2 linked regions of the Daphnia pulex genome follow. The protein of the gene in region 1 purifies or fractionates together with the protein of each later gene. This does not show direct contact. Links are inferred from orthologs where the notes say so. Each region holds a gene or a part of one and is shown on either strand. Other genes may lie near its edges. The genes, in order: serine/threonine-protein phosphatase 2A 55 kDa regulatory subunit B alpha isoform-like and serine/threonine-protein phosphatase 2A catalytic subunit alpha isoform.

Evidence for each region.
Region 2: the proteins of serine/threonine-protein phosphatase 2A 55 kDa regulatory subunit B alpha isoform-like (region 1) and serine/threonine-protein phosphatase 2A catalytic subunit alpha isoform purify together in Caenorhabditis elegans (affinity purification with western blotting; 3 studies listed by BioGRID, with this or other methods). This does not show direct contact. The link is inferred for Daphnia pulex from reciprocal best matches to the Caenorhabditis elegans genes sur-6 and let-92.

Annotation. Positions count from the first base shown.
Region 1 is NC_060020.1:1,074,042-1,090,036, forward strand, and holds the start of serine/threonine-protein phosphatase 2A 55 kDa regulatory subunit B alpha isoform-like, read left to right. Parts: upstream 1-8,551; 5' UTR 8,552-9,756; coding exon 9,757-9,784; intron 9,785-15,995. Other genes in the region: uncharacterized protein LOC124192179, read left to right, coding at 1,572-1,689, 4,288-4,450. UniProt on the Caenorhabditis elegans protein: Probable regulatory subunit of serine/threonine phosphatase let-92.
Region 2 is NC_060026.1:13,484,152-13,500,470, reverse strand, and holds serine/threonine-protein phosphatase 2A catalytic subunit alpha isoform, read left to right. Parts: upstream 1-8,214; 5' UTR 8,215-8,443; coding exon 8,444-8,545; intron 8,546-8,619; coding exon 8,620-8,829; intron 8,830-9,169; coding exon 9,170-9,433; intron 9,434-9,504; coding exon 9,505-9,677; intron 9,678-9,744; coding exon 9,745-9,852; intron 9,853-9,930; coding exon 9,931-10,003; 3' UTR 10,004-11,074; downstream 11,075-16,319. Other genes in the region: beta-1,3-glucan-binding protein-like, read left to right, coding at 1-43, 112-304, 381-579, 648-857; uncharacterized protein LOC124203690, read right to left, coding at 4,404-4,715, 4,781-4,963, 5,025-5,198; transcription termination factor 2-like, read left to right, coding at 1,583-1,637, 1,700-2,769, 2,835-3,299, 3,359-3,644, 3,707-3,904, 3,973-4,149, 5,612-5,742, 5,837-6,148 and 4 more.

The sequences.
Region 1 (15,995 bases):
GGCTCTACAGCTTTCGTTAACCAAATCTTGACAGTCGAACAACAGAAAACAAAAGGGGCCTTTCCACCGCGAGTCCGTTTCGTCTCTTCTTCCGCTTTTCAATTTCCCGTCCGGGCTCCTTGCTTCATTCACCAAGGTGAAGGAACTTATGAATTAATCAGTTTCAATCTTAAGTGGCTTTCCTATACGTCGGGTGCAGTCACGACGGGGCTCCAAGGACGCGCATTAATGGCGCATCATTCAAAATCTTATCCGATTATTATTTTTTTTACCGTGGTCGTTGTTGGACAATTTTGGATTATCTTATCTGAATGAAGATGTGAGTCGTTTCAGCAGGAAGAAAAATGTAGACAAGTTTTTTTTCATTTTTATGTACTTACGCATCGTTACGTCTTTCCGTTCGCCGGGACGGATGAAATATATTGGAGAGAGTAAAAAAAAACGGAATTGCCGGAATCCGGAGCTCATAAATTCAATTCCATTCTGACGTGGAAGCGGCACCAATCCAGAAGAGACTATAGAAAATGCAGAAAAAAGGGATCAGCCATTCGTAGGGAAATGTAAGAAGAAACGGAGGGGAAAGAAATAAAAAGGCGGATCGTTAGTTGTATAATAAAACATATTCAACAGATTGGTGACATATGTTAACGTATGTTATTAACCGGTGGATTCTAGTTTTTTAATTTTTTTTAAATTTCAAATCTAATCGAAAAGTGAAATTGAGGATGCAACGTTTCAGCTTCTTTTGATTTAATATGCATAAAGTAATTGTACTTGTGCAGCGTACACACCCACGAAATGAGCATATGAAATTGTACTTTAGCTATTTTTATACTATCTTATTACTATACCTTTCTTCTTCCTAGAACTAAAAGCCTTGCAAGTTTCAGGAGAAGAAAACTTTTGTGAATCGTCAGCGTCTAACTTGGTGGTGGTAGCTCTCCATCGCAGGAGCCGAGCCTCAGCTGCAGACTCGCAAGTCGCAAAGCCTTTACCTTTTCATATTGAACTTGCATGTGAGCCTCAATAACCTCCCTTATAGATCAAAGAATATAAGGGACGACTCTTTAGCTCTTTTCTTTCCCATATGGAGTAGTTGCACGGCGGTTTCCCAACTCTATTGTTACAATAAGGGCAGACGTCGTCAACTGCGCGCACCATTTATTATATATCTCTCGGTGCAGAAGGAAATAATGGATGGAATATATAGTATAGTATATCGACTAGATTCGAGTTGCCAAAAGTCTTTGACAAAGATCGAAGAGAAAATGAAGAAACTTTTCGCTTTGATGGGCTTACTTCTGACGGCATCGAAACTTGAGTTGTTTTCTTTCGTTATTAACGTACGAGTCTAAATTCATGTTGGGGCGGCAGGTAACTAGGGCACTGTTTCTTGAATGGCTTTTTATAGAATTGAATCTTTTCATTTTCATTTCGAAACGGCCGAATATAAGGTTGAAACCTAAAAAAAATCTGTCTAATCAAATTGAACCTGCTGTTTATTTTATTTTGTTTTTTTCAAATCGATTTCACGTCGACCAACGCCCCGCGTCCATCCAACAAATCATCAGCCGACGGTAATTACGAGAAGATGGTGATTCGTACCTGCGCCCTGGACTCTGGTACACTGACACTTGACACGGAATTGGTCCGAATGTCCCATTGTGGCAGTTTCGTTCTGGATGGAAGGTCAGACTGATAGCCATCCAAGTCTAGCTCTTTCCCACATACATGCAATTCAACGCGATCAATATTATCATACGCTGTAGCAACACACACATATATATAAAGTGTGTTTTAACAGAGAGAGTCAATCCCCTCCCCCACCCCAAAAAAAAACCGGACCGTTTTCCCCAGTATAATAGTCCCCCCAGCCCCAGTGATGAATCCACTATTTTCCCGGCGAGCAATTCATCTTGTGGATAAAAAAAAGGCCTTGCGTGAGCTGCGCGAAAGAGAAGAATGGATTGAACACACAATAACTTTCTTCGCTCGTCTATGTATATCCACCCACAAGCCCTCCCCCCCCCCACGGCCCTCCTCCCATATTAAATGGAGGGAAAAGAAAGTGAGTGTATATATGGCGGCGGCGGCGGCCGGTAATCGAAAGAACTTAGACGAATAGCAGCTGTCGTGGTCCGTCTGCTGGGCCAGTAGCTATTAGGCGCAGTTGAGGTTTTCCCGTGATATTGGCCCGATATCGACCTGTCGCTGGGTATTTCGTTCCATCGATCAATCGCATGCGAAACCGAATTCATTTCGGATCTAAATCATCTACAGCAAAAATATCTATCTAGCTATAGAAATAATAATCAATACAATCTAACTGGTTATATATACTACATGTATTTTTTCGTAGAGAGGCCAATGTTATCATAATCTAGATTTGATTAGAGAGAGATGGTTGTTTGGTTATATTTTGATACGCATCAGCAGAGAGCTGGTCATAGCCTTTTTGTTATCATTTGATTATATTCTGATCTTTCTAAGTTGTGTCTCGTGTTTGTCTTTCTCTCTTTCTCTCTTTTGGTCTTCTTCGATCAACACTTCGTCCACACACTCGATCGTTACGCCCGGCGCCTTGTCTTTTTATTTCGTTCTCTATACAGACGATACGGGCGAAACGATTGTAGGTACGTTCCACAATTTCGATACTTGCTCATTTTCTATTCATATTGGATTATTATTACAACATTTATAAGCGTCGATCTAATATGTCTGTTCATTGAATGATGCGCCATTAGTTAGAGGTTGTGCGTTGGACTCTGGGACGACGACAATAGATACAGAAATCATTCGCATGTCTCACTGTGGAGGATTGTACTTCGACGACAGGTAAAAAAACGACCACCGAAAACCTTTCATCTTGACTGTTTGTTTGTTTCATATTGGCAAATCGTGTCGTTTATAGTTTTGGGCATCCTCGGAATGTGTTGTGTGTGTGTATGGAAGCATGCGGAAAGAGAATGCCGGAATGCGCATGATATATGTAGCGGTGTCACACATATCTGAGAGGTCCGTGTTAAGCGCATCTCAAATGGCTGTGCCTGTAGAGAGGAAACGTGTTGTGTGTCTGTCTGTTGGTTGTCTTGTTTGTGTTTGAGATGCGCATAATGTTGGCAGCAGCACACTGGTGGTGATGTGGGGTGGTACTCGCTGGATGTGGTTGTTTTTTTGTTTCTCTCCGGCGGATGTTGAGGCTATATACACTCAGCAGCCCGCGCGCACTCGGGATGTTGTCTAACCCATACTAATAATATAAGCTCTGCAGCTATATAGAGTTACACGACCCATCAATTTATTTATTTGACACGAAGAAAAGAAGCCGAGGGCAACAGATAACCAAACAAAACAAAACTAAAAATTGGGAGAGAGGAAACTTTTACTGTCATCTTATATTGTCGGCTGTTTTCGTTTTGTATTTTCCGGATTTCCCAACGATATATAGACTGCGTCGTCTAGCAACACATCGGGATCGTGCTCTCCGTACTCGTGTTCCGGCTTATAACAGCCTCTCACTCCCGCGTCTATTATACCAGTATAGTGGGCGGGTGAAATATAAAAAGTCTCGTCGGCCGTGCACTGCTGGATGCCGAGTTATCCAGCTTCGCCAGTATAGTACTATCCGGCCATTGAAATTCAATACGCGCGGGTTTGAAATGCTCGTTGAAGCGATTGATTGAGCCTGGGCGTCGTCCTTTCTAAACGAAAGAGATTGCCAGCATGAAGTTTTGAGACTATATCCTACTCGTCGGCATGGCTTGATGGATTACAGCTAAGCATCGCACATCATCACTATACTATAACAGACACTCTTATATTTCTTTGCTCCCAAGCAGTGCACAACCCCATTCTGCATTATTATTCTACACCGTGCACATTTCACTTTCTATTCCTTACATCACTCCGCCTCTATACACCCTTTCACTCTTCATTTGCCTTCAAATTGTACTTTCAACTGGACCCCATATTTTTCTCACCTTTAGATTTGTGTTTTGACAGAGAGACCGGTGGTCTATTTTTCACGACACCTAATGGAGTTTTGACTGTTCCGAATTTGATTTCAAAAATAAATTCGAAGGAATATTTGATTTAGTACCTTGTCCCGTTATAACGACGAAGAAACTCTCTCTGTTTCCCTCCTTAATAATAATTCAAGTGCGTGTTTGCATATGCGTCTGAAATCACAGAGTGATATGTTTGGTTTGATGTGTTTGTTGGTTTTGTTGGAACGATGTCTCTTTGGTGCTGGCCAATTGCTGATGCGTCTCCGTGTGCTATATTCAGGTACGTTAATGGCTGCCTTCAAAGCTGCGACGACGGCGACGGATGCAACAGTGCGCCATCAGATCGACCCGGCTGGCTGCGGATAGTTACGGCGGCCGCATCGGTCATCACGATATCCCTCATTTGGGCTAACGTGATGCCCAGCTATCACGTTTTCCGATAATCCATCGAAGAAGAAAAAAAAATATGAAAAAAAAAAGAATTTTTAAAAATGCCGCCGAATATTTATTTACTGCTAATTTGTTTCTGAAATTATATTCTTCAAGATAATATTCCGCTCGCGTGTAATTCTCTCGACGTTTTGATCATTTTTTTTTTCAGTTAATTCTATCCTCTTTTGATCAATTTCCGCTTCGTCTTCTTTTTCTTTGCTCTACCTATTACCAGTCCAATTTGATTGGATTTTGACTTTTCTCTGCTCTGCTCCCGATTCCTGATTCTTTGGCGAAACTTATTAATTTCTCTCTTCCTCTTGTCAGATGAAAATAGTATAAATATATATACATGCCGACGGTATTATACTGTGTTTGAAATTTGAAAGTCAATTATTCCTTTTTTATTCCTTTTTCCGTTTCGCCGATGAGAAAAAAAAAACTAAAATAAAATCTAAATGTGTGGTTTATAATTTATTAAAAATATATCCAACCAGGCTTATTATTACATAAGTAAATGTAAAAGCTGTATAGCGTTCTATATGATGTATAAGGACATAGCATCGACATATTCTTATTTACCTAAAAAAGTTATAGTATATTAGTTGTATAACATTGATTTATTTGTTCGTCTGTTGGCATCATTGTCTCTTATCATTTCATCTTTTTTGAAAGAAAACTCACGTCGAAGAGGCCATTTACGAACGTTATATTTCCAATAAAACTGCACTTTTGAAGGAAAAAAAAAAGAAAATTTCAATTTGGGCAATGCTCCTTATATATATTTTACATCTCCTTTTGCTCCCGCAATAGAGAGAGTCAGATGGCTCCATTATCTTGATGGGTTTATTCCTCGTCAATTCCTTTCCAGTTATTCTTATTGGTATTTTCCACGATCGACAAAAAAACAACAACCAATAAGTATAGTAAAAAACACTCTAGTTGGCTGTGTCGGTTGTCACAGCAGCAGCTGGGCAGCCAAGAATTCGATATCCCAAATGTCTATCTACACATGCTGGCATTACTAGCAGGATATGGCCTCAACAACATAATATATCCGATGCAAAATAACATAACCAAAAACAGACAGACACAAAAAAGAAAAAGAATAATCGATGGCTCTTTATATTATTCTTGGCTCATAAAATTCTTGTTTGTCAAGTCTCCACCGGGACTCTCTCTCTCTCTCTCTGGGTCGACTGTCTTCAAGTTTTATTTCATTTGGTTGTTTCTCTCTCTCGGTTCTGATCGAATCACGTTGTTGAACATCAGGTTCCCCACACAAGCCAACGACCGGTTCTCCCTGTTTGATCGAATCAGGTTCCACCTTGCGCACCTGACTGTATATACAAACACACGAGTCTTACTAGGCAATAGCCGACGGGGGTCCTATATATATAAAGAAGAGAGAAAGGGGGGAAAAATAAAAAGAGGCCAAGTGGACTGTGTAATAGTTTGACGTTGTAGGAAAACAAAATAATTTTCATGAAAATACAACATTGCACAGCAAATGAAATATTATTTCCAGGGAATATAAGGCTTCGTATGTAATACGCAGAGTGTTGGTGAATTATTAAATTTGTATGGGGTCCGGTGTTGTATATCTGATGATTGGAGTCAACGGGTACGAAACGATTTAACAACGGGGACGAGGCAGCCCAGCATGTGTGTCTCCCGCCTTCAGCTTCCAAAACATTTCTTTTTTTGTGTGCTGCATACAACGTACCGTACGGCACGTTATTTGATTATAGATTGGATCATCACTGGCGAGGACTTGCCTGGTGCTTTGAGAGATATTCCATCGTCATCGCCAGGCAACCGCTTTGTCTATTTGAAAGCTGGTCGAGCATAACGACGAATAACAACAGCACACTCACACACACACACACAAAGTACATAACAGTTTATACAAGGCTTCTTCTTCTTCCCACCTATATACCCAGCAGCAGCAGCAGAGAGAAACAAGCAAGCGCAAAAGCAGCGTCGAGTGGCTGATTAGTTGAAGACGCGACTCGGATGATTACATTCGCTCATTCACCCGAGTGTGTAGCAGCGCAGCATGTGTGTCGTTGCCAGTTTTCGCTCGTGCAGCTCCGAAAAGGGACGGGGAGAAGGCGATTATCAAATGGAAAGAAGAAGAAAATAAAAAAAAGGAACTTCAGTTTCAGCAACCAATTAAGCTGAACAGGTTACCCCTTCACTCTGTTTCTGCGCTCTTGGAAATTGTTTGTTATTCGATGACGTGATTTTCAATCTAGCGCATCGACCCGAGCCATTCATTATCAATGGAATTAACCGACGAGGATTTTCGCCATTGGTTCTTGTTCAAAAATTGGTGTTTCCCGTTGCGCAATAACAAAACGAATCGAAGAGGGACGGCTAAGAGCACAGAAAAAATGGGAGCGAATTTCAGAGGATTCCTGGAACGATCGTGCCATCTGGCGAGCGCCAATGACAGCAGGATCGTCCCGAACAACAATTCTTGACGCTATAGCGGGAAGAATCAAGAAAGGATTTAAAAAAAATGTAATCCATAAGATCAGTCCGAGGTGCGCACTCATCCCACACTCGAATGGAAAAAGGGTCATTTCTTCTTCTTCTTCTTTTCCATTTGGATCAATGGGAATAAAGGATGATGACGTAACAGTCAATCCCTCAGCTCGGGGGTGAGGGGATTTAGTGTGCCCCCAAACAGAGTGGACACGCGCGCGTGTGTATTTATATCGTTAAAGTTTCTGTTTGGTGACCCAGAAATGATCGATCCGTCCGAGAGTAAGTATAAGACTGTGGGCTATAAGAGAGTCGTCCCATATGACTCAACTGCGCTCCTTCGATTCAAACTCCTCCTTCTTTTGTTGTCCTTACTATTCCCGTTTTGCGGACTCGCCAAGCATGTGTACACACATTGATTGTGTGGGTGGTGTGTTTACTGTACACAGACACACAGACGTTGATGTGAGATTGCGGAGCTTGATGTCCATCTCGACGGTCGGGTGATGACGGCCAGTTTCCCAAACGTCGCGTCCTCGGAGTAGGAAAAACAAAACGAAAATATATACCGACGACAGAATCGCAGAGTTCAGTTGTTTGGACGGAGAGCAAAAGAAAAAGAAGTCAACAAGTTCTCTCGCTGTGATAAGAAGTTGATAGCGCCAAACCGTCGGGTGATGGGGGCGCAAGATCAAATAAATATTTTTTCCCGTTGCAAACTTTTTCCGTCGTTTAAACTTTTTACTTCTTCGTTTGTTATAATAAAAACACAATCAATGATGGTGGGCCCCTGTTGTTGAGTCGGCCAATGACGTCAGAATGCGCCCGATAAAAGGATAGACTAGAAAGAAGAAGAAGAGCCTTGATGATGATGATAATAAAAAAAGAAGCGCTCGGCGACATCACACACATTTTTATTTTGTGATTCAGCCGATGTGACATTGCGATGACGTCGTTTGCCTTTGGGTTGCTCGGGAAACGGCTGCTGCTGTGCCGAAAGTGGTGTGGCCATGCCAAACGTTCTTTTCCTTTTACCATCCGGGCCCTCATTTTTTGGCTCCGCCCAGCATTTACGATGAGATTCACCTGTGCGATCCAATTTACTTTTTTTTTTCTTTATTTATATTCAAAGAAGTTGGGCCCCGTGCTGTTTTTCCTTTCTTTCTTCTCCAGCTCACTGTCGATCCACTTTATTCCATTAGCCCGCGGTACAATCCTGCGTCTAGACTTGGCGATGTCTTTGATTCATTATTCAATTTGCTTAGCGCTTATATACATAGCGTACGCTAATGGAATAAGCGCAACTTTTCCCCAAATTTCTAAAAGTTGGCCCTTTATTCTTTTTATTCTTTTCTTCATTCAAAGTCGATTTTCATTCGCCGAGAAATGTTTATATAAACCGTATACGTGCAGACGTTTAGACAGTCTTTTATATCGGTAACTATAACCCCACCCTTGCCAGCCCAGTCCAACCTTTCGTTTGGTTTGATTTGTTTGGTGCCGTGGGCTGGCAGAGAGCGCTGGCGTCGTCACGTCGTGAGCCCGTGCGCCGCGCGCCGTCGCCGCCCGAGTCCGCGGGTGGGCGCTCTGCCGTGTTTGGTCGTCCAACTTCCCCATTTTCCAACAGTTGGTCCCGGTCGGGCATCAAGACAAGCTTTGTTCTATCTGCGTGTCCCGCGCGCCCTACTTCAAACAACAAAACAAAATAACAAGCCGCCGTTCGTTGTTTTTGTTTCTCCCGCCCTCCCCCCTTCTTTCCTTATTCAAATTCAAAACAACAACCTCTTTTCACGAAGAAGAAGAGGACCTTGTTCTAGCTCTTAGACATATCACGCGTCGTTCATCATCATCACCATCATCAAACGTGATAATCTCAAGTTCATCCGGTGTTGCGTCGACCGAAATCCGGGGTTATTCGGATCGTTATCATTAGACACCCGTGCCCGGGAGGGAAGGAGGAAGGAGAGAGACTTGAACGGAGAGAAGGAGGAAGTCGTTTTCACCGGAGAAATATTTTATTTTTGTTTTTTTCGTTCGATAAGAAATTCCCATCACGCCGGGGTTCGGCATTTGATATAGCCCCCTGCCTTATTTATTCCTTATTGGACAACGCCATGCTACTCCCGTTCCTGCGGATTTGTCACCACCTCAAATCATCCACGTCCATCACCACCACCACAGCAGTAGCCGATGCAAAGTTATTCCCATTCCCGGAGTCGATCCATTGCTGACCGCCAAGCGCGTTCACCTTTTCCTTTTTTTTCTTTTTATTTTGGTTGTTTGTTCGGGTTCTTCCCGATTGAGTTTATTTGATATTTTCCCGTTCACTCGGTTGACGTTCAACGACAGTGACGCAAAGTGAAGGCGAACTCCCGCGTGCAATCGTCACGAAACAAATTATTATTTCTTTTTTTTCCTGAATTGGTTGGAATATCTCCATCGGCGGCTGTTGATTCGCGCCCGCCATCGTAAATCAAACGGGCGTCCGCCTCTTATCGACGAGTGTCTGATACACGCACAGCAGCAGCAGCAGCAGCAGCACTTGTTTCTTTTCCAGACCTAATCATCGGTCGGGGCTCTCGTTTATTCACCAGACGCCGTCGCCGACGACAGTTTGACGCTCGTCGCAGCCGCCCAAAAATCAAACGAATTTTTCTTCTCCCGTGTGCGTATAGTGCGCGACGTTTTATTACGAGAGTTGTTTCATTCACGCACTTACATCATCTCTAGTGGACAGGAAAAAAAAAAAGCCAAATAATAAAAAAGAAGTTATTCCGCCGTCTGGTCTCCGCGACATTTTCCTAATCGAATTTCGACTGGGATTTTTATGACTACGTTTCTTACACAGACGAGAGGTAATGGCCGACACGATTTCATTTTTCCTTTTTTATTTTTTTTATTTCTTAATGTTTCTAAGTTTTCCCTTTCTTTTGTTTTGTCAATGGTGTAGTACATATATATATATATCGGTTATGCACATAACTTCCCTCCCCCACCCCACCCCCAACGGCTATTATCCGCTTGAGTGGCCGTCTCTACCTATACTTCCCCTTTCTCTCTACTAATTCCGGCCTCCCCCGGCGCTAGACATTCGTAATCATCTAGACGATGAAGGCAATTAGCTAATTAAACTCTGATTCAGGCGAAAAGAAACAAAACAAAAAAATACTCTCAAGCAAAGGTTCTCTTATTGCAGTCATGCACACACACACACACACGGGCAGTTATTAGATATTCGGCGTGTGCCGTCATTTCCATCATTCGAGACTGCGTGTAAACGCTAATGCGCATTTTGTTGACACACACGCTTGTGCGTTCGAGACGATGCTGCCGGACAAAAGGTGGTGCAGTTTCAGCTCTCGTGTATATAGCACTAGCACAGCAGCTAGGCTATAGTCTGCGTATTTCTTCGACGACAACAACACGCCGGGCCCAGCTGTTTTTCTCTCTCTCAGCGCTTTGTGTTGTTTTCTTCTTCTTCTGTTTGTGTCTGATATATTTCTGTTTCTGTCTGTCTGTCGTCGCTCCCTTGGAAAAGTTGAACGAAAATCATTTCCAATTCGATTGGCGCAGCGGCACCCCTTTTTTTTGTATTATTGGTTTTTTTCTTTTTCGCTTTCAAGCTGTTGGATTCACGTTACAATTGTTTCTTCATAATAATAATAAAGAAAAACAAGCGCACGCGCCGGCAGTCTCAGCCGAGCGCAGCAATCACGGCCGAAAGAAAAGGCAGTTCTCCTCGTTCCACTTAAAAGTTTAAATTTCTTCTTCTCGTCTCACATATACAGACACACCGGGCGCGCTCGAACCATTGTTTTTATTTCGTTTTGGATTTCCAATGATGAAATCAAAAAAGAAAAAAAGGACAAAAATAAAACAAATTTGGAAACGAAAAGAGAAACGGTTGAACCGCGTGAGCGTTCCGTGTTGCCATATCACGCGGGACTTTGAACTGTCTTCCAACCAGCGCACATCTAAGCAAAGAAGTATAGTATAGATTCAAGCGACTCACATAAGGGAGCGTGAGAGACAGTCACGCTGTGTAGTAGTACAGAGCCATAGGGGAAAGAGAGAAAGACAACAACAACAAGAATTAAAAACCCCCCCAAAAAAGAATTGGTGTTTTTCTTTTTGCCTTTTTCGGGAGAGAGAGAGAATGAACGACATGCAATCCCCCTCCTTTTTCTTCGTGTTTTTTTATTCTTGTTATCCAAATTTTTGTCTCGACTTTTGAATGAATAAGAGAGAGAGTTGTTTTTTTGTTTTTTGGGGGGTTCGGTTTCCAGGTGATACTGCTATATTGCATTACGTTGGAACGTGATAAGAAAAAGTTTTCCCGTTTATTAATCTATATAGACCTCGTTTGTAGTACTAGTAATAGTTGCGCGGGTACCCCTTTCTCTCTCGTCCTGGACTCGACTGGCCCTTTTTTTCCTATATGATATCAGACTCTATTACCATGCTATTCTATCTCTACTAGACATGGCGGGTTTTGAGCTATTGCCCCTTTTCTTTCGTCGTGGATGCAATTCAATTTCCCCGCGGTATTTGTTATTACGTGCATCGCCGCTCCTTGTTAACTTGGTCAAAGTTGAAACAAAAGACCCGTTATTGCATTATAAGGACGGCGCTCTAATGTGCTCACCATCCAGCAGCACATATAGAGACTTGCGGTATTATATTTGAAAGGGTCGACTGCTGAATAACGATATAGTAGTCCGTCAGGTAGAAAATGCAATATCAAATCAACTCAATGCAGACCGAAACCTGTGACTTCTCTGATGGGAAGCCAATTGAAAAAAGAAGAAGAAATCTAATGATGTCATGTGTGCCAAACTATCAACAGGGAAAAGAACCGAGAAGAGTTGAAGAAGAAGCCCCTCTTCTCTGCCATATTCTCTCCGTGTCCTACTTGTCCTTATTATCTTTCCTCCACGTCGTCGAGGATCCACACACACAAAGCCAAAAGGAGAAGGAAAGAATATAAGGAAGCCTGTTGTACAATAATGACGACTTTATTATCTGGAGGGAATCTACATGTATGGATTAGTCGACCTTTTGTGCTATCGAGTGGGAACATTTTACGAGCGGCTAACGGCATAGAATTTAAGACCCGTCAGATTAAATGTCCGCTAGGCAAATATTGTATAAAATTTTGGTCAGTCGACTCATTTTATTCAATCTTTCCTTTTCTTTTTTATTTCAATTTTCTTTTAGATTATACGATCGAGACGTTTTTGCGTTTGACAACTCGAGCTTTTTTTTTAATATATTGCCGCCCTATCTAGTGACTTGACAAGTGTCACGGCAAACATCTCTGTGCATAACACACTTGGCCTGCAACCAATGATTATGCAAGCCTCTATATCTTTATATGGCTGGCCCAGACCGTTTGATAAAAAAGGGAACTTTTTTTTTATGACGATATTAACCTCGACACTTTGATTACGCAAAGGATGACCCACTTTAAAAAAACCGAAAAATGTGTTTGTCTGTTTTGGCGGTAGTTTCGAATTGCGTCAATCGCCGAATTTTTAATCAATTGAAATTCACGTTGGAATAATAATTTGAATGGAAAAGAAAAATCTGAAAGGGGGCGATAAAGAAACCTGTTGTCACGAATGTCGCAATCAATGCGAGCAGACAGCAAAAGTGAAACAAAAGTTCTCAGCAGAGAAAAAGACTGAATCGAAATGCTCCAAAATTTAAAAGAAAGGAGCTTATATACGTAAAGTCTTTGTTGCATCGTGAATTCAATTGCACAATTCCGAACGAGCAAACAAAAATGGCACACACACATGTAGTATAGGTATTGAAATGCGAATAGTTTTACTTCAAAATAACTCGATCGTTCGTGACAACGTCAGAAAAAAGAAAAGGGAGAGGGGGGATCCAATCAAATCAAACATGAATTCAAGTCACAGCACAGGAACACACATAACCATAACAACCACACACAGCAATATAGAAATATTGAACGTGCCCATATCAAAATAAAAGTGACTGACATATTGGGTGAACTCCCGCCGAAGCCTCTCCCTCCTTAAGCTATTAGGTATATGCACATCCCGGTGCGCTAAGCCGAAACCATCGAAGCGGAAACCAAAATAAAAGGGAAATATATATACCTACACAATAAAGCCAACGAAAAACTTTTTCTCAAGTCTCGACGTCTAAAAAATTTGAAAAAAAAACTTGAAAAATAATAAGATCGGCAGCTTATAATACAGAGCAGCTACAGACGTAGTACTATAATACACACAGACACAAAGTCGTAACTGGGCCGGGAAATAAAATATCTATATACGGCGGAACTTGTATATTCTTACTTATATATACTATCGCTTATTGTGTAAGTGTTTGTTTAGACAAGTTCTGCGAGAGAGAGTAGCGAAAGAAATCAATTTCTTGGCGACAGAGAGAGAGAAATAAGAGAGAGGATGATGGATCACCTCATTTCTCTTTTATTTGTCTTTTCGTCTTATTTAGAGACTATTCCCCCCCGCTTGTAAAAGTTTTCCAGACCGTAGCAGGGCGCGGCTTTACAAAAATGAAACCTCAGCAACTCTCTCTTTATTTTTTATTTGATTTTATTTTATTCTTCCCACTCTTGTGCAAGTCGGAATCCATCTGTGTGCACTGCACCTTGTTTGAAGATCTCTCTCTTATTCTGCCGCAACGGCGGCGGCTCTCCACATTTTCTCCACAACGCGGGGCAATCCACTCGGAGTCTGAGGAAAATAAGAACGTCATCCGAAATTGTCAACAGAGTCAACAGTGTGCCGAGAGTTCAGTTTCTTTTTATTGACAACTTGGCTTGGAGGACTGATGCTTTGTTTGCCATTTGTCATTTCTCTTTTTGAGCTCTAGACGAGTTCGACCCTGGATGACTTAAACTTTTTACTTTCGACAGATTATTATGTTACTGGCGGCTGAAAATAATCTGGCAACAGCAGAACAAACGTCATTTTGAAATGGATGTCGTTTTTGGTTTTTCGGTGTAAGATTTTGAATTTCAGTTTTTTTTTCCGCAATTCAACAAAAGTCGTAACATGCGACGCTAGACAACGAGAGAGAGAAGTACGTGTGTACACTATAGTGTTTACACGGAAGAATCCAAGTCGTGGGCATCCAAGTGGGACAGAGAGAGACGAATAATGGGGCAACGAAACTTGATAGCTAATGCGTTTCAGACGAACGTCAACTTCTTTTTCAACTATTATTGACTCAGAGTGGAATGACGTAGTAGTTTCGTCCTGATTCCCCCTCCGGCAAGAGAGAGAGAGAACAGCAGTCAACACTATATACACACATCAAGAGGACGAGGATGACCTTTCATTCAGATTGGCAGTTTTCGATTGATGGACGAAACACGTAATCTCGAACGTATCGATCTCTGATTTATTCGAGAAATAAAATTGAGCCAAAGAGGTTCTCCCCCCTCTCCACTAGCGACGATGGCAAACAAAAAAAAATGGAACGATATACACAATAGGAAGATAGGAAAAGATGATTGAAAGATGGACGAGATGGATGTCTACATCGATAGAACGTCTATCCACTATCTATCGGGAGGAAGACCTTGTTAGATTTTCGGAGGGGACCAGCTGGTTTCATTTCGATCCTATCTCTCGTCCATCATCAAGGAAGTCTCCGTCATTTGCCTCAATTTGATGATCTCTTCCTCTCCCAATGTGTACCAGCTCCGGAGTATAGAAAGTCTTATTTGCGTTTTTTCTTCCTTCCTTCCATATTCCTCCGGGTTGGAGCTGCTGTGTATAGTATCCGGGTAGTAGTATGCGTATCCTCTTTCGCTTTTCCCGTTCATAGTAAATGCTGTTTTTCGCCTGTATGTACTCACCAAGACGACCGAGGTTACTTATCTTACCCACCTTGACAAGAGGGGGGCGATATCCTTTCCTGGCGAGATATGATATACAGGATTTACCCGAGGTTGATTGCCAGCCTGGCCTCCGCTCAGTGTGTGTGTCTATAGTAAATATTGATCGGCCGATGGATATATGTCTCTTGACTGAAACGATTTTGCACCTCTCTATATATATGTGTATTATGGGTCTTTGCCAACCCAAACAAGCGAGATCCTCCCCCGTGAAGCGATCCTTCCTCTCTCTCTCTCATTGAGTATATAGTTGGGATCTTGGTGGTTGATCGCTTCTCTGATCCAATTGTCTCATTCGAGTGGTTGGGCTGACGTGTCACTCAGCTGTCACCATCAACGTCTTTTGTTAGATCCTCACGGCTAGTCTGCAACTGACTGGGACCTGATCCAACTCTCGTCTCTCGGCTTTGATCTCTCCGCGAGCGCGCACACAAGAAAATAGCGGAAAAGAATTGATCGAACCTGTGCCTCCTTAAGGGTGGCTCCCAAATGAGTTTAACTTTTACTTTTGAGCTCCTTCATATAGAAAATCGCAGGAGCAACAACCCAAAAAAAGAAAAAAGTTCCGTAGAGACGCAGTCGGTGGTGTGTCCATTGGGAAAGAAAAGGGGCGATCGATCCGGCCGTGAAGAAAGAAAAAAAAATGGCCGAACGATCGGACAAAAATGAAAAGTCTAAAAGTGAACGAAAAAGGTGTAAAGAATTTAATTTAAAAAAAATGCCGAATAATAGCCGAGCCGGGAGAGAGAGGTACAAACAAGAGCCCGATAAGTGCGCTGGCATGAATAACCCAAACAAGGGCGGAATAATTTGTAATCAATTGAGATATTGTGCCGGTATTAAGATGCGCGGGCAGGAAACGAACAAGACGCTATACAGCATCAACTATTAAGTGCGGAGATTGTCGTTCCGCCGAGCTGCTGCTGTGCTGTGCTGTCCACCTGGGCCGACAGCACACAAGTCGAGTCTTGGCATCGATCCTTGGCTGGTTGGCGCATCGGCTTCAAAGGTCATATACGTGTATAGCTCCGTGTCTCCTAGCTGGTTGCAATCTTTTATATATATGCCTCCTGGAAGCAGTTCTCTCATTCATCGATTTCTTTCAAGGGAAAACTGTTTGAATTTTTCGGCGCGGATTTTCCAGGCCCAGCAGCAGCAGCTTCTTG
Region 2 (16,319 bases), on another chromosome or scaffold:
GAAGTCAGAGCTAAAATGCCAAAAGGTGACTGGATTTGGCCAGGTAGAAATGAGTTGTTATTAAATATAAAAACAATTGGGAAATTAATAGTATTGAAATATCCTATAAAGCAATTTGGATGTTGCCTACTGACGAAATTTATGGTGGTTGGCCACGATCGGGTGAGATTGACATCGTAGAGTCCCGAGGAAACGCCGATTTTTCGTGCAACGGCTATCCGATAGGGCGACAGTTGGCAGGAAGCACTTTGCATTGGGGTCCTGATCCCAACCAGAACCGTTTTGACCTTACCCACTGGGAAAAGTAAATTTACATATGTGCATGAATTAATTATAGTTACTACTTAGAATAATGTTAAACGTTTTTATTTTTCACAAAGGATCACTCAGAATCCAGATTTTGCCAGCGATTTCCACCTTTACCGTGTCGAATGGCTTCCAACTGGTTTCCAATTCTTCATTGATGATCAAATGATTGGTGAAATGTATCCCCCTGCAGGTGGATTCTGGGAATTGGGAGGATTTCAAGGACAGAACCTCTGGAGCGGTGGAACTGTAATGGCTCCCTTCGATCAAAAAGTATATATTTTTTTTTTATTATTTATTTTAAATATTTCATTTACATCATTGTCGTCGTGTTTGTGCAGTTCCATTTTCTTCTTAATGTCGCTGTCGGAGGTAACTACTTCCCTGACGGCTGTCAAAATGCCGTTTATGACAAGCCGTGGACCGCATCTGATCCTACTCAAATGAAAACTTTCTGGGAAAGCCGCGACAAATGGCTACCCACATGGAATGCTGCCACTGAAGACAACACAATGCAGGTTGATTATATTCGCGTGTATCAGCTTGGTTAAATTGCCACAAACTGATTTTAAAAAAAATTGATTTTATGGAAAGTTTAACTTGACTCTTAAAAGAATAGAATAAAAGAATGCAACATTTTCTTTATCCTTTATTTACTTCACCTCATAATTTGATGTAAAGAGATAGTATTACCACGGTTAGACCGTGGTATTGCAGTGTCAATGCTCAATGGTGCAAGGTTTTCAAATTTCCCACTACGCGTACTAGACTCCTCCCCAACTACTGCGGTTGCACGTACACGATCGAAATAAGAAATTAATATTAAAACAACAATATAAATATGAATGGGAAAACCTATTCGAATTAAAAATTGCTCATAAAGTTCAAAATAGGAATTTGCCTAATCAATGTTTTTCTAACTAAAAAAATAATTCATAAAATTTCGTTGGCTCCTCTTTTTTTTATATTTGGCAACGACGCCTCAGTATTTCTATTCGAAAATTTTAGAAAGAAATCGTGAACAAGTGTGACAAGGAGTTGGTGATGTACTCATGTCCGTTGTTTCTTCTTTCTTTTATCGAACGAAATATTTAATAAAGCACGAGAATAGTCCAGGTCAGACAGAGAGGAAGCTAGGTAATTTGTCATCTTTCTACTGCTGCCTTCGTATTTTATGGTAAACCTTTTGTACATTATGCTAATGCTCTACTGGTTCATGATCACCTAAATTTCAAATCCAGAATCTAGAGGAATTTAAGCTGAATTGACATACAAAATGTCCAAGTTCCCATTGAATGATGAAAGTGACCTGGTTCCATCTACACCAGAAGGTAAAACATTTAGAATTTGAAAAGTAAGGCTTTCTAACATCATTCTGTTTCCTTATTTGAAGATGTGTCTGATAACGAGGCGTATGAAACTCCAGCTGCCCATTCTTTTAATAAATACTCAAAGTCTAATGTGAAAGCATCTGCTGTTTCACGTACAGAGAAGATAGAAGAGTCAGTACAGGGAGAAGATTCAGACTCTTACAGCGTTGAGGGAGAAGAAGAGGAGGAGTCCCAGCATTCATCTAGGCCTGGATCTTCAGATGATGAGGAACCTGAAGATGAGGTAGATAAAAGTCGATCCTCTAACCTGGTTGTCAGTCCTTTTGAAACTAAAAAAGGATCGAAGCAAAAGGCTCATAGATTTATTGAGAGTTCAGAAGACGAGTCTGATGATGAGTCTGATGAAGAAGATGTGTCATATCGTGTGAGAGGAAAACGTCTTGGATCTAGTGAAAAATATTCAACTAGTCAAATTGGAGACCTGGATGAATCTTACCAAGTAATTCAAGCTGGAAGGCGTCAAGCAAAATTGGTGATTCAAAGTTCTGGAGAAAATTCTGCTGAAACTTCTGACATTGAAGGCTTGGCAATTCAGAAGGCCAATGCTTCTGATAGCTCTGACGAATCCGCAGAAGATTCTTTTGGTTCCTCCGTTAAGAAGAAGCCAACCCGAAATCCAATTGATAGTGATTCCGATTCTAGTGGACCACCGGTTAGAGGAAAAGCAATTGACACTGACACTAGTGAAGAGTCCGATTCTAGTGTTGAAGCAACACCGCGAGTCTATCGTGAACAAACTGGAAGGAAAGCTGCATTATCATCCACTGAAGATGAGTCTGAGGATAATATTAGGAAAGAGATGACTCCTCGTATCCGAAAGCAATTCATCGACAGTGACGTATCTACTGAAGAAGAAGTAAGGGTTCCTCGTATAAAAACTCCTCATGTCCGAGATCAAATCATCGACAGTGACGTATCTACCGAAGATGAGGTTGAAGCCATTGCCCCACGGCTCCCTTCGTCCTCTCGTATCCCTACACCACAAGCGATTCAGCGTGCTCTTCGCAATACCAGTCTTGATAGACACGTTTCGGGGAATGATTCAAACATGGATCCCATTAACGCTAATCATGTAAGTTGGCCGTGATTAAAGCTGCCTATGATTAGACCTTTAATATATTTTTTATTTTATTTCAGGAAATGTCGAGGAAATCGGCCGATAAAAGATTTTCGCCTCCTGAGCCTCTTGTAGAGGAAGAAGAAGTACCGATCCAAGATCTATCCAATAGTATTCTTGAGGTATCAAGTACTGTTGTATCTTTTTCGAGCCCTGAAGTTGAAGGAAAAGAACAAGATCAGAGCATAACTGAGTTATCATCACCGGAAATTGCACGAACTCTTCCTGTTCGACTCTCGGCAGCAGAAATAACGCGGATGCGTGAAGATCTTGAGCGCCAAAAACTTCTTTTGGTATCGTCAAATTTAAAATCATTGCCCGATGGAGGAGAAAGGCTCCGAGACAAAATTCGTAAGCTGACTGAACAGCTAGAAACAGCCAACAAACTCGGTGTAAATCCCCCAATGCGCCCCGTTCCAGTTTCATCAGTAGCGTCAAGTGAAGTCCAAGAAGATGAACTTCGAAAACAAATACAAATGAAAAAGGTTATTTTCCAACAATTATTTTCTGAAGATAAGATAAATTTTATTATTGTTTTTTCTAGTGGGCCATGGGTAACGCAAATAGCGACGACAAGGAGCGCCTGCGAACTGAAATCGGTGCCATGGAGGGTCGTCTTATTAAGTTGTCAATTGCCAATGCAACCAACGCCGGCAGCAGCAGTTACGGCTCAAAACATTTGGATTTCCAAAATGACACGCAGAATCGCCAATTAGCTGTAAAACCGAAAAAAACCCAACTTCTTCCTGAAGCTCCCAGACTAACCGAAATGCAGAAGAAGATGTTTGCCGATAATGCGGGAAAGGAACTCTACCAGAAAACGGAAACCGGTTAGTAATAATAGTCATGTTTTTTTTTTTACAGCAACTCAAATTCTCCTCCTTTTAAATAGGTTACATCTCTGCTGCTGCCCGTCGTGAGGCTGTTTCCATCACTATGGATTCGCTTGAAAACCTTCATCGTTCTCTCGCCAGTTGCCCAAAAGAAACCGATGTGGAGAGTACGCCCGCCTGCCTCACAGTTCCTCTCTTGGCGCACCAGGAGCGCGCACTCAAATGGCTTTTATGGCGCGAGACTCAAATTCCTGCTGGTAAGCGACGTGATTACTTGTTCATTCAGTTATTCCCTAAACTTAATTTATTCTTATTTTTCTTTTAGGTGGAATATTGGCGGACGACATGGGTTTAGGCAAGACACTGACCATGATTGCATTGATCGTGAAACAAAAGGAACTAGATCCTCCACCACCTGCGTCCTCCAACATTTGGCTCTCCAAGACCGTCAAGATCAAAAGGTCATCTGGTACTCTCGTTGTTTGCCCCGCCAGTGTAGTGGGTAAGTGTTATCCAATTAACTTAGTTTATTAAACGTAGCTTCACAACAATCAAGTGGCAAGAAACATGGAAAGAGTTAATGAACCAAACGGGGAATGGGAATTTCTTTGTAACATCAGGACAGTGAGTGAAATAAGTAACAAGTTCCTCGTAGAGAATTTTTCTCGCCTGCAATGAAAGAAAAGCGATTATTGAATTTGTAAAATTCTAGACATTCGTTTAGACTTACGTTTTACGACTGTGAAAATCTTCTGGCTAGACGATTCTGTTTGTTTCTTCCATTTGTTTTTTTAAATTGACCAAAAGACTGTCGACATCGACATCTTGGTAATCGATTCGTTTGGGTGTCGTTTGACTTGTCGGGGTTGGTTGAGACGGTGAAATCGGTACGTTTTCGTGTTTCACTTTGGCATTGTTCAAACGACGTTGACTGAAATAACCACTGCGAAGGATCCGAGAGATGATTGCCTTTCCATCGTAGTACGTAATGTTAGTCCCTGGAACTGATTTTCTTTCTCCCTCCATCAGAAATTTGAAATGCTCGGATGCTTTTAAGTTTTCTTCGATCTAAAGATAAAACAACGTGGTTAAAGTAAACGATAGTAATAGTGTCACAGAACGAGTTTCTTTACCGGTGCATTCATGACAAATTCAAGTAGAGTTTTAGGACTTTTAGTTGAAGTGGTAAGTCGATGAAATGTCTTCAAAATTTCGATATCTTCCTGGCTTAGTTGTGGAGCCCCTTGTAATCCGCGAAGAAAGTCTTGACGAATGGCACTACCAATACTCTGTGTGCTCAAAGCATGGAGCATTTCCTAATCAAAAATATCTCACATTCAATAGAGGATACACAAGTTTCAATTTAGTTGAACTTACCTGAACGTCGATGACTTGCTCCAAGTGGTACAAAACCTGCTGTTTTTCGTTTCGCCTTTGTTTTGCAATACCTTTAGGTCTACTAACGAGGGTTTGAGAAAGTATTTTCGAGGTTGAATTCGGAGACACAAAAGCACCTGGTGAGCTTAACGACTTTTCATTTTCACGTTGCATTTTGGCTCGTCTCGAACACGACAATAAATCGACTACCACGTGTGAATGCCGGCAACAAAACTGAATCTGCGAAGCAAGGTCACCCTCTACCTAACCTCCGGTTATGGGGGGGGTGGCCTAGGGTTACACACTCGGAAGGGTTGGGAAAAGGCGCGGCTTACGTTATGGCGTCCTAAATTAGTTTGCACGTGGAAAAATCGTACTTGTTATTGCTAGATGCATTACATTTTTCTCCAAAATAAATAGAATGCATTTTGATTAGATAAAAGATGAATTTCAATAAATTCTCAAACGCGTTTTTATGAGTCACAAGTTATGACTCATTTTGATTCACAGTTAAAACATTTGATTGCAGTGAAGCTTTTATTTGAACAGTGATATGCATTTGTGTTCATGTATTTTTAAATTATCAGGCCAGTGGGAGAAGGAAATTCATCGTCGCTGCAAGCGAAACTCGTTGAGTACTGTTATTTTTCATGGACCAGATCGTAACAAGTTAGCGTCCAAACTACATCAATATGATGTTGTAATCACAACTTATCAGGTACACTTACTCATTTGTGTAGTTGTGTCTTTGTCTTATCTGCATACGTTTTCTGTGTTCTTGTTTATTTTTAAAATTTCAAACATTTCTACAGATTGTCTCCCGCGAAATTGCGAATGTGAGTTTGGACAAAAAGGATGGCGATTCTAAGCCTATTGGAGATTTTGATGTGGAAACCGATGCCAAGGCCATGAGCCAGTCAGTTCTGTTGCAGATCGCATTTGACCGAATCATTTTAGATGAAGCTCATGTGATCCGTAATCCTAAAGCCGGAATATCGCAATCAGTGTGCAGACTCCGAGCTTCCCGTCGATGGGTCGTGACTGGCACGCCAGTACAGAACAAAGAGCTGGACATGTACTCCCTTCTCCGCTTTCTTCGTGTCACGCCGTTCGATCAGCTGGCGGTAAGACTCGGAATTAATTATTGCTTCTTTGTACCTAAAGTAATACCTAATCAACTACAGGTATGGAAGCGATGGGTCGATTCTTCAAAAAATAAAAACGAACAAGCCCAAGGACGTCTTCAGCTTCTGATCAAAACTCTCCTCTTGCGTCGAACCAAAGATCAAAAGGTAGAAGGAAGCGAAAAACCGCTAGTTGCTATGCCTGCCAGGTATGAATGCTGGTTTGCTATTGCAGTTGCTGCAACATTTTACACGTTTTCTTTTTAGGGAGGTACACACTCACAACGTAGAGTTATCACAAGAAGAGAACGAAGTCTATCAGAAACTCCTCGCCTTTTCACGCAAGGCACTAGAGGAATACATCAAAAATCAAGAAAACAAAATTAAAGAAGGTTACGGTTTCACCTATGATCGCCGGGTAATTTAAATGAGTCATAACAAGTGGTTAGTTTCGTGAAGCTTACGCAATCCTTTTTTTAAATTCTAGAATCTTCCGGAACTTCCCCAAAAGAACGTGACGAAACAGATGATGTTGGTGCTCCTCCTACGCCTCAGACAGGCTTGCTCTCACCCCGCTTTGATTCAAACAATGTTGGATGCCACTGACTCGGAATCTATGGGGAGCGAAGACGCCAAAATCGAGGAAAACGATCTGGATTTGATTTCTCAAATGTCCACCATGACGTTGGACAATAAACCGGGCGAGCCGAAGAAAGAAGAAACCAACTTCTTTACCCATACTAACCCAGTTTTCGATCGCGATAATATGAGCAGTAAAATGCGGTACATTACCGAGGAGGTCAGGAAAGTTGTCTCTCAAAAACAAAAAGCTGTGGTGGTCTCGCAATGGACATCCATGCTGGATCTGTTTGCCCAGCATTTTCAGCGTATGCGCATTCGCTGCCATTTGATCGCAGGTAGCGTTGCTATCAAACACCGAACACAAATCGTAGAAGATTTCAATAGCAATCCAGACGGTGCACCGGTAAGATTTATATTTTTATTTCTTCGTTATTTTTATTTGATTAACGAAATCTAGTTTTATTAACAATTTCCTTTGCTTTCAGGTTATTCTTCTATCCTTGGGTGCTGGTGGAGTTGGCCTCAATTTAATTGGAGGAAACCATATTTTCATCGCAGATATGCATTGGAATCCTCAGCTTGAGGCTCAAGCCTGCGACAGGGTGTATCGCGTTGGCCAAACTAAAGATGTCCACGTACACCGAATGATAACTCAGGGAACTGTAGAAGAAAGAATCCTTCAGTTGCAGCAGGAAAAGTTGGCAATGGCTAATGGCATACTTACTGGAGCTGCGAAGTTGGCTACTAAGGGTTTAACTATTGATGATTTGAAAATGCTCTTTAATCCTGGCCCGCCTGCATATGCCCCTAAACCCATGTTAAATCAACCTGAAGTTTAAGTGAAGTGATGTTATTCCCTTCATTTATCTATCACGTGTTATTTAGATGCGTTCTTATTTCGGTTTCTTCCCTTATATTAAATCCAGTTCGAAATTGATAGTTTTCAATAAAACAAAAAAACACTCAAGTTAAAAAAGGAAATGTATTTTTCATACTTTGTAATGTATTGAATTCAATTCAGCAATAAATAAATAATTGATGTCCTGATTCATGTTGTGGCAAATAACAATAATTTTGAAAAAAGGTTAAAAGTCAATTGTACTGATAAAACTAAGACAACAACATTTTTTACAATTTTAAAAATTAAGCATAAATAATAATTAAAATGCAATATTAAATATTGGAAGCATTCAACCACACCAATTTCTTGGGGATTTGGTCAAAATAATGGTAAACGTCAAAATAGAAATTCGAAAATTTTTTGTTTTGGTATCGTCAATCTGAATCGATTATTAAGATATCGATTAACATTGAATGACAATCAATGAAAACGAATGACAATCTATTTCGAATTAGTAAAAAGTAGTATCAAGAAAAAAATAATGCTTTGAAACTGTTGATTTGTGTTTTATGAGAAAGAAAGAGATTAAAGGGAATATAATCAATGTTGAATCGCAGCCGTTGCCGAGACGATGTGACGTCACAACGCTCTAAGCCTGCCCCTGGTGGCGAAAGTCTTCGTTATGAAAAGAAGCGGCCATTTTCCTATCTAGGAAAAAGTGGCAGAAAGGGGGTGGCCACTGATACATGTTAAACCCGCTCTGTTAAGTGTAAGCAAGCCCAAGAAGTTACGTTTGAGTTTTCGTGGCCCCACCGACACATCAATTTGTCTGTTGATACTTTTGTATTGCACGAATTTGTAAAGTATTCACCATGGAAGAGAAAGCAGTGGTTAAAGAACTTGACCAGTGGATTGAGCAGCTTAACGAATGCAAGCAGTTGGCCGAGAACCAAGTCAAAACCCTATGTGAAAAGGTTCGTACATTCAACGTTTTTTTTTGCATCAATGGAATGCTTTAAATATTTATGGTTTGTTCTATATTTGACAGGCAAAAGAAATTTTGGCCAAAGAATCAAATGTTCAGCCAGTCAGATGCCCTGTCACCGTGTGTGGTGATGTCCACGGACAGTTTCATGACCTGATGGAGCTCTTCCGAATTGGAGGAAAATCTCCAGATACCAACTACTTATTCATGGGAGACTATGTTGACAGAGGTTACTATTCCGTTGAGACAGTCACATTACTTGTTGCCCTCAAGGTGAGTTGCTTATTATTCCACAGACATGACTCAACTAATTATCTAGAAGTAGGATATTAAGAATTTCAAGGTAATACTTGGAATTTTTTTTTTTGCAAGTCATGTAATCAATAAGATTCAAATATGATATGACTAGGTTTGTTGACTATTTGGATGATGCAATTGAAAGTTGCTCCTTATGGTGGGCTTGCCCAAAGCTTTGTGGAGGCTTTTATCTAATTACGCAGCTGATAGCTTTTGAAATATTTATTGATTTTTCAATTGAGAATTAGATTAACTTTTTCCACTGTACATTTGTATGACTGTTACTAAGGTTGCTTTTCCATTACATTCAATTTAGGTTCGCTACCGTGAACGAATTACCATTTTGAGAGGAAATCACGAGTCTCGTCAGATCACACAAGTCTACGGATTTTACGACGAGTGCCTAAGGAAATACGGCAATGCTAACGTTTGGAAGTACTTCACCGATCTTTTTGACTATCTTCCTCTGACAGCACTTGTCGACAGTCAGATTTTCTGTCTTCACGGAGGACTTTCCCCTTCTATCGACACTTTAGATCACATTCGATCTCTCGATCGTCTCCAAGAAGTTCCTCACGAGGTTAGTTCGCTGTCTGAAAACACTTTGACATCACAGTTTAGTCAACCTATACGTCTCGTTTGCTAAAATAGGGCCCCATGTGCGACCTGTTATGGTCCGATCCAGATGACCGAGGTGGCTGGGGGATTTCCCCCCGTGGAGCTGGCTACACCTTCGGCCAAGACATTTCCGAAACTTTCAATCACTCCAACAACCTGACTCTGGTCTCTAGGGCTCATCAACTTGTCATGGAAGGATATAACTGGTAATGTTTTGTCTTACAGAAGACATATCTGTTGGTACTGGGGCTGAACGTTTGATTGCTTCATTAGGTGTCACGATCGCAATGTGGTAACGATATTCTCTGCGCCCAACTATTGTTACCGGTGCGGCAACCAAGCGGCCATTATGGAACTGGATGATTCATTGAAATACTCCTTGTAAGTTTTTAAACAGCCATTTTAAATTTACATCTAGAAGACATTTATTGATTTTCTTTCTCGTTTGTGAAATTACAGCTTGCAGTTCGATCCAGCTCCAAGAAGAGGAGAACCTCACGTAACCAGGCGCACGCCGGATTACTTCCTTTAAGAGCAAAAAAAAAAAAATATCGCGGAACACCGATGAATTTTTCTCCTTTCTTCCTTCAATTTACTATCATTATTATTATTTTTTCTTCTCTTTTTCTTTCATGCTCGGTTCATTTCTCTTGTTCCTCGCTCGGAGTATAGATTTTACTAAGTCGAGGTTTAAGAGTACCCTGCACATCCCCACTAAAACGTCCTCTTTATGCGCCTCTTCTTGAATGGAAAGCAAAAAGATCAACATCCATACCCTCCCCCTCTACCCCTTAAAAACACACACACACACTATTCCCTTACAGTCTCTTCTTTTTTTTTTTTTAAAATTGGAGTTCGTGATTTGTTCTTTACAAATATTAATGAAACATGGAATCTTCTCTTTTTGTGTCGGAAAAAAACCTCCTTATGTCCCCTCCCTCACACCCCGCCCTCCCTATTTTCTCGCCCGTGTCGTAAATGCGTGAGAGAGTAACGTGCAATTGGTATATTCTAGTATCACTTCCCTTTTTCTTTTGTCCCCTTTCCTACCTGCCCGTTGATACCCTCGAACCATCTTTTACGATTTATTTAAGAAAAAAGAGTTGAAAGAGTGAGGGAGAAGTAGGTGGAAGAAAAGGAGAGAGAGAGCGCGTGTCAGAGCCAAGAGCAACTGTATACCGACAGACGAGCCGCCCAAACAACCAACAAAAAGATTAGACCACGAGCATCAGATTTCCATTGTACTAACGCTTTTTTTTTTTGATGACTTGTCTCGAAAACATCAGATGGGGACATGCTGATGTCGCTGTTCCCCTCTTTCCCCCCTTGTGTCCTGTACTAATAACTATCTAGATGGTGACCTTTGAACCTTCCCTTCCTCCTCCCTCCTCGAAAATAAGACCACGCGATCCAGTTCACACTTAAGGGAAAAAAATAACCAACCAACAATGAAGTAAATCCAACAACAAGAGAAAACAAAAAAACGAACGAGCGAGCCGAAGAAGAGTGGTTTTTAAATGTCGTGTCCCGTCACTGTCATTTGTAGCCAACAAAAAAAAAATGCTGGAAGTTCACCTCGATCAATACAAATCGTAATCATTCACCAATTCTTTCAGTTGGATGTCGTGCACTCTCATTCCGAACGGATGGCTGACTTTGCTTGCGATGACTACGAGTTTTCTTAAGTCTTTTGCAGCGATTGATGTACAAAGTCGCCACAGGGCAAAGTCTCTTTAATGTTTAAGCAAAATGTACTCTAAATCACGTAGGTTAAGCAAGAAACCTGACACCGGTTGGAGCTTCTGGAATAGAAAAAACTGCGTAGCTAATGTCGTTTGCTGCAATGTCGCAACTTTTCGATGTGTTCATCAACCAACTTCGAGTTTAGTTTAAACGTTAGTCTTGATCGAGCACCCATCCGGGTGAGAAGATTGAACTTGCTGATTTCTTTTTTATCCAGCAAGTAACGGTAAAACAAAGCTTACATTTTTTAAACAAATTTTGAATTTAGATCTTTATCCGTACGTTATGAATTGTTATTGGAATTGCATGTGATGTAATGTCTTTTTTAAATTTTTTAGATCGGGTGAAAATGGCGGTTTGGGGCATTTTGCTCACGGCTGCCACCCTTTTGGGGCCCATGGTAAGCGGAGACAAGATCAAAGTGAGCCAGCACTGCGTCACGTCCAACTCTTCCATTGACAGCGTTTATGCTTATGCAGAGAAGGGGCTCAACAGCTCAAGGACATTACGCCTTTCGAAATTCAGCGGGAAGGTGACATCCATTTCTGATTATTATTCTCGAGGTTACCAGTTTCTAACAGTCTGGCAAACCGCCAAGGGTGCGCATTCCGTATCCTCTGACACCTGTTTTATTTTGTTTTCTTCTTCTTTTTATGAAACAAAAGGTGATGCTCCTCGTTAACGTGGCAACCTACTGAGGGTTCACCTATCAGTACCACGAATTGAATGCACTACAAGAGGAGTTTGCCAATGATTTGGTTGTTTTAGCTTTTCCTTGTAATCAATTTGGACAGGTATTACTATTTTTAGAAAATGCCACTAACCTCTCCTGGGTGATGTAAAAATCGATTCTTCAATCTGATAATTTTTTTATTGAACTTTTCACAGCAAGAACCCGGAGGTACAGATGAGGAGATTCTGAACGGGATTCGTTACGTCCGGCCGGGAAACGATTTCCAGACGAACATAACGCTTTTCCGCAAGATTGATGTCAACGGCGCTAACGAACATCCCTTATATTCTTATCTGAAAGTAAGTTATGCTTTTTTTTATCATCACGACGTGTGACGTCGTAATACTGAGTGGTGCGGATCTTGATTATCTTTTTCCGTTTTTTAATAACAGAAAAGTTGCCCGACGACTCGTGATTTTTTCGCACCAGCCGCCAGACTGGATTACAGTCCAATGCGCAACAACGACGTCCGCTGGAATTTCGAAAAGTTTCTAATCAGCCGCAAGGGCAAACCTGTGAAACGTTACGATGCCAGTTCTCGGGTCTCGGATATGCGCGATGACATTGAATCCCTTCTTTTCCCCTCTCTCGTGTAGATGTTGTTGTTTATGAATCTTATTTTTTTTTCCGCTTGAGGGAACTTTTAACTTGCTTGTAAATGTTTTAGAAGCAGTCGTGTTGTTGTGAGGGGGGAAAACGAGATTGGCGCGCGTGACGTAATGACACTCCAGATCTCAACCGCCCGAAATATGGCGGCGATTTGGAGAAGAGGTTTGAAATTCGGTTCGACTTGAATTAAGGATGTGACGGACGAGAGATCATTTACCATCTCGCTCTCGTTTTCGTGCTCCCTTGTGCATTCGGGGGCCGTCAGATCCGGTTTCAGTTGCCGGTTTTGTCCGCTCGAGTCTGTTTCGTACTTTCCCTCACGACGGCTGTGGATGAATACATGGAAGTTTAAGCTACAAATGAAGCACAGCAGTTTTCCTTTTTAAATGATGCATTTGAACTCGAATGGGGCGGTGCCAGTTGACAAGATATTGCCCCGTCCTTATTAGTCTAATCGTTGGGGTTTTTTTCCCAAAAGAAACGCAATAACGCCCCTCTAAAAGTTAATTGACTCTTCCTGTATGGCGACTATTTCAACCACAGCGAATCTCGGTAGCTGCGCAAGTCGTTCTCTGACTCGCAGTTCGTGGCTATGGTGGCCGCCGCTGCTCAGATGGTATTCGAATTTTTAACATTTAGTTTTGTATTGAATTTGTCATTAATCGGAGCATCTTGTTTTCCCCTGTTTTAGATGAGCGCCATTAGCGTCGTGTTGCTGACGCTGATGCTGTGGGGTTGTCAAACTTTCGCTGAAGATGATGTCGTTATTGAGCTTCGTAAAAGTCAACCATGTCATTGTAACGACACCATTTTTCGATTTTCCGAGAAACTTCTGACTAAAGATACTGACATTCGATTGTCAAGTTTCAGGAACAGGAATGGCAAACAAAAGGTAACTCATTTATTTTATTGGATTTTTTTTTTCACTTCAATTAAATTTTGGGGACAATTCAGGTATTGCTGGTCGTCAATGTGGCGACTTACTGAGGGTTTACCGAACAGTACATCGAACTGAATGCACTACAAGAGGAGCTTGCCGATAATTTGGCCATTTTAGCTTTCCCTTGTAACCAGTTCGGCAAGGTAAATCCGCTCCGTTTCCCTATCGATTCAACAATCAAATTGTCCAACAACTTTCTTATTTAAATGACTGCAGCAAGAACCAGGTGGCTCAGATTTGGAAGTGTTGAACGGAATCCGTTACGTTCGACCGGGTAACAATTTTCAACCCCAAATGAAACTATTCAGAAAAATTGATGTCAACGGCGATAATGAACATCCTTTATTTTCTTATCTGAAGGTGAATAGTGTCAAGTTATTATTTTGTTTAGCTATTAATGTTACTAATTGTGTTACAAATTTACAGAGTTGCTGTCCGCCTACTCGAGATTATTTCCAAGAAGCCACCAAATTGTATTACACCAAAATTCGCGTCAACGATATCCGCTGGAACTTTGAGAAATTTCTTGTTAATCGCCAAGGGGTGCCCGTAATGCGCTATGACGCAAGTGCTAATGTTACGTACATGCGCCAGAACATTGACCAACTCGTTAATTCCTAAAACTTCTTCTCCCTTTTTTTTTTAAATTTTAATTTGACATTTTCTTTTTTCTTGTTACGTTTTTCTGTACATAATATTTCCTCTCTTGTTTCTCTGCATTTCAAATGAGCGCTTCGAAGGTTTGTACGTAATTGACATATGATCCTCTAGATCTCAACTGTCTGAAACATGGCGGCGGTCTAAGGGGAGAGGCGAAGCTCGGATGGCTGGAGATGAGCCCGAAACCTAGAGTGAATTTCTGTTTGTTTTTTGTCACTAAGGGAGCTCTTTTGTGCATAAGGGCAAGTCGGGTCAAGTTTCCGGACCACAGAGTCTGTCATTCGACTGCAAACCCTGCGAATTATCTCTATTTGTCGCTGCTCTATATTTGATTCACTAATTCAATAAACGTACGATTATTGTCAAAGACCGAATGAGGTAAATAACGTCTCGGCTCCAATACAAGAAATTACGTATTGCCTGTTGTAACACAAAAAGTAAAGAAGAGTAACTTGATCCATCTTAGTAATGCGAAACAACAGCAAAACTTAACATTCGAGTGTCTTGAAGGACACGTCCTTTTCGAACCAAAATCTTAATTTTATTTTTAGTAAAGGATTTTGAACATGGATTAAATTTAGCGCATACAAAATATCCGCAAGTTTTTGTTGTTTTTGTTTTTTACATATGGGGAACATGGATGACAAAATTCATTGTTGGGAATTGGGATCAACGTTGAGCTTTATTTTTAATTTTTTATGCTCGTTGATGACTTGATGGTAATGTTTTAATAAATCAAAATTGTTTGAGGTCAATTCCAAATTTTACACTGGCAAAAGAAAGAAAGAAATAAAAAAATTGGGGTTATTTTGCTGTTTCCACTTTTTAAATGATGAATTGGCATCGCCGCTTTCTCGATTCTTAAGGAAGTTCGTCTGCTGTGCAAAGTTTAATCAAAACTGAGCGTCCAACTCTCCATTGTCTCGATATTAAGTTAGACGATGAGGCTGCCAACACAGTGTTGCTGTTAAAGTTGAAACAATTCGATTACGATTAGTTGATTCTGGTGAGATGGAGATTAATGTTGAAAATACGTTGATTTTGAGGCATTGGTTTGATTGATTCTAGAGAGGTTGACGTAATCAGAGGAATAATTTGTCATCATCATTATTGATCCCTCATGAGCGTGAAGCCGTGAATAAACGATCCTGGCACTTGGCAAGATGAAGAAGACAAAAGACACCATCGACATTGAAGAAAATACCAAACGAACGTTTCAAAGTGGAGGCAGCAGGTAAGAACTTTTTTTGTTTCTATCTCGAATTTGAATTGCGAATTTTTGATCGACATGTGACCCAGTCGTGATTCCCATTAGCAACCGTTAAATGAACTAACACGAAATGATTAAATTTAATGACCGTTGCTATTCTTTATCTTCCTTTTGCGTGAAATTGTCGTTTTATTTTGTAGATTAAATCCGAAAAAGGGAATGACATTTACTGTACGTAGGGACCAACAGCGTTTCATTGTCTTACTTATTAAAAATAAAGAAGATGTGTAGACGCATCGTTTTCGTGTTGATTTCAAGTGAAATTTCAAAATAAAAAGCTGAATCAATTTTTATGTAGAAGAAATCGTCACCCAGATTCGATCGGCTTTTTTCAAGTCCAGCGTCAATTGGACAGGGTCAACGGACTGTATTTATTAGTGACTTTCCTGTTCTCTCGAACAAAACTCCCCCCAATTACATTCCCGTTCAAATTCAGATCAGAACTGAAAGAATAATAATAATCCCATGAAGAAGATGAAATCCACACCGTTCCCGCGAATTAAAAGAAATAAATTCTCTGTCGCGGTGCCGTGAATATCCCCGTGGATGATGGAACACGAATCATGCCCTTGACGTATGAAATCGAATCTGTCAGATGTATTTTATGAATTCCAAGAAGGCCGGTGAAAATCGAAAATTCGTATATAGACGAAAACCGCTGCTTGTAATTTACCTGTTAATAAGCGATTAACTTCCTTCCTATTTCTGTGTGAGATTTAGATTGCTACCCATTCAAGAACCCGGTTTTTAGTCGTTATATGGAAAAAGACACCCTAAAAAACTGCTAAATCCGAAATGACCATTTTCTGCTCTACCCAAATGCAAATGAAAACAGGAGAAACGACGGTTAACGGTTTGTATGAGGGTATTACGTACCGTATTACTTTATCTAG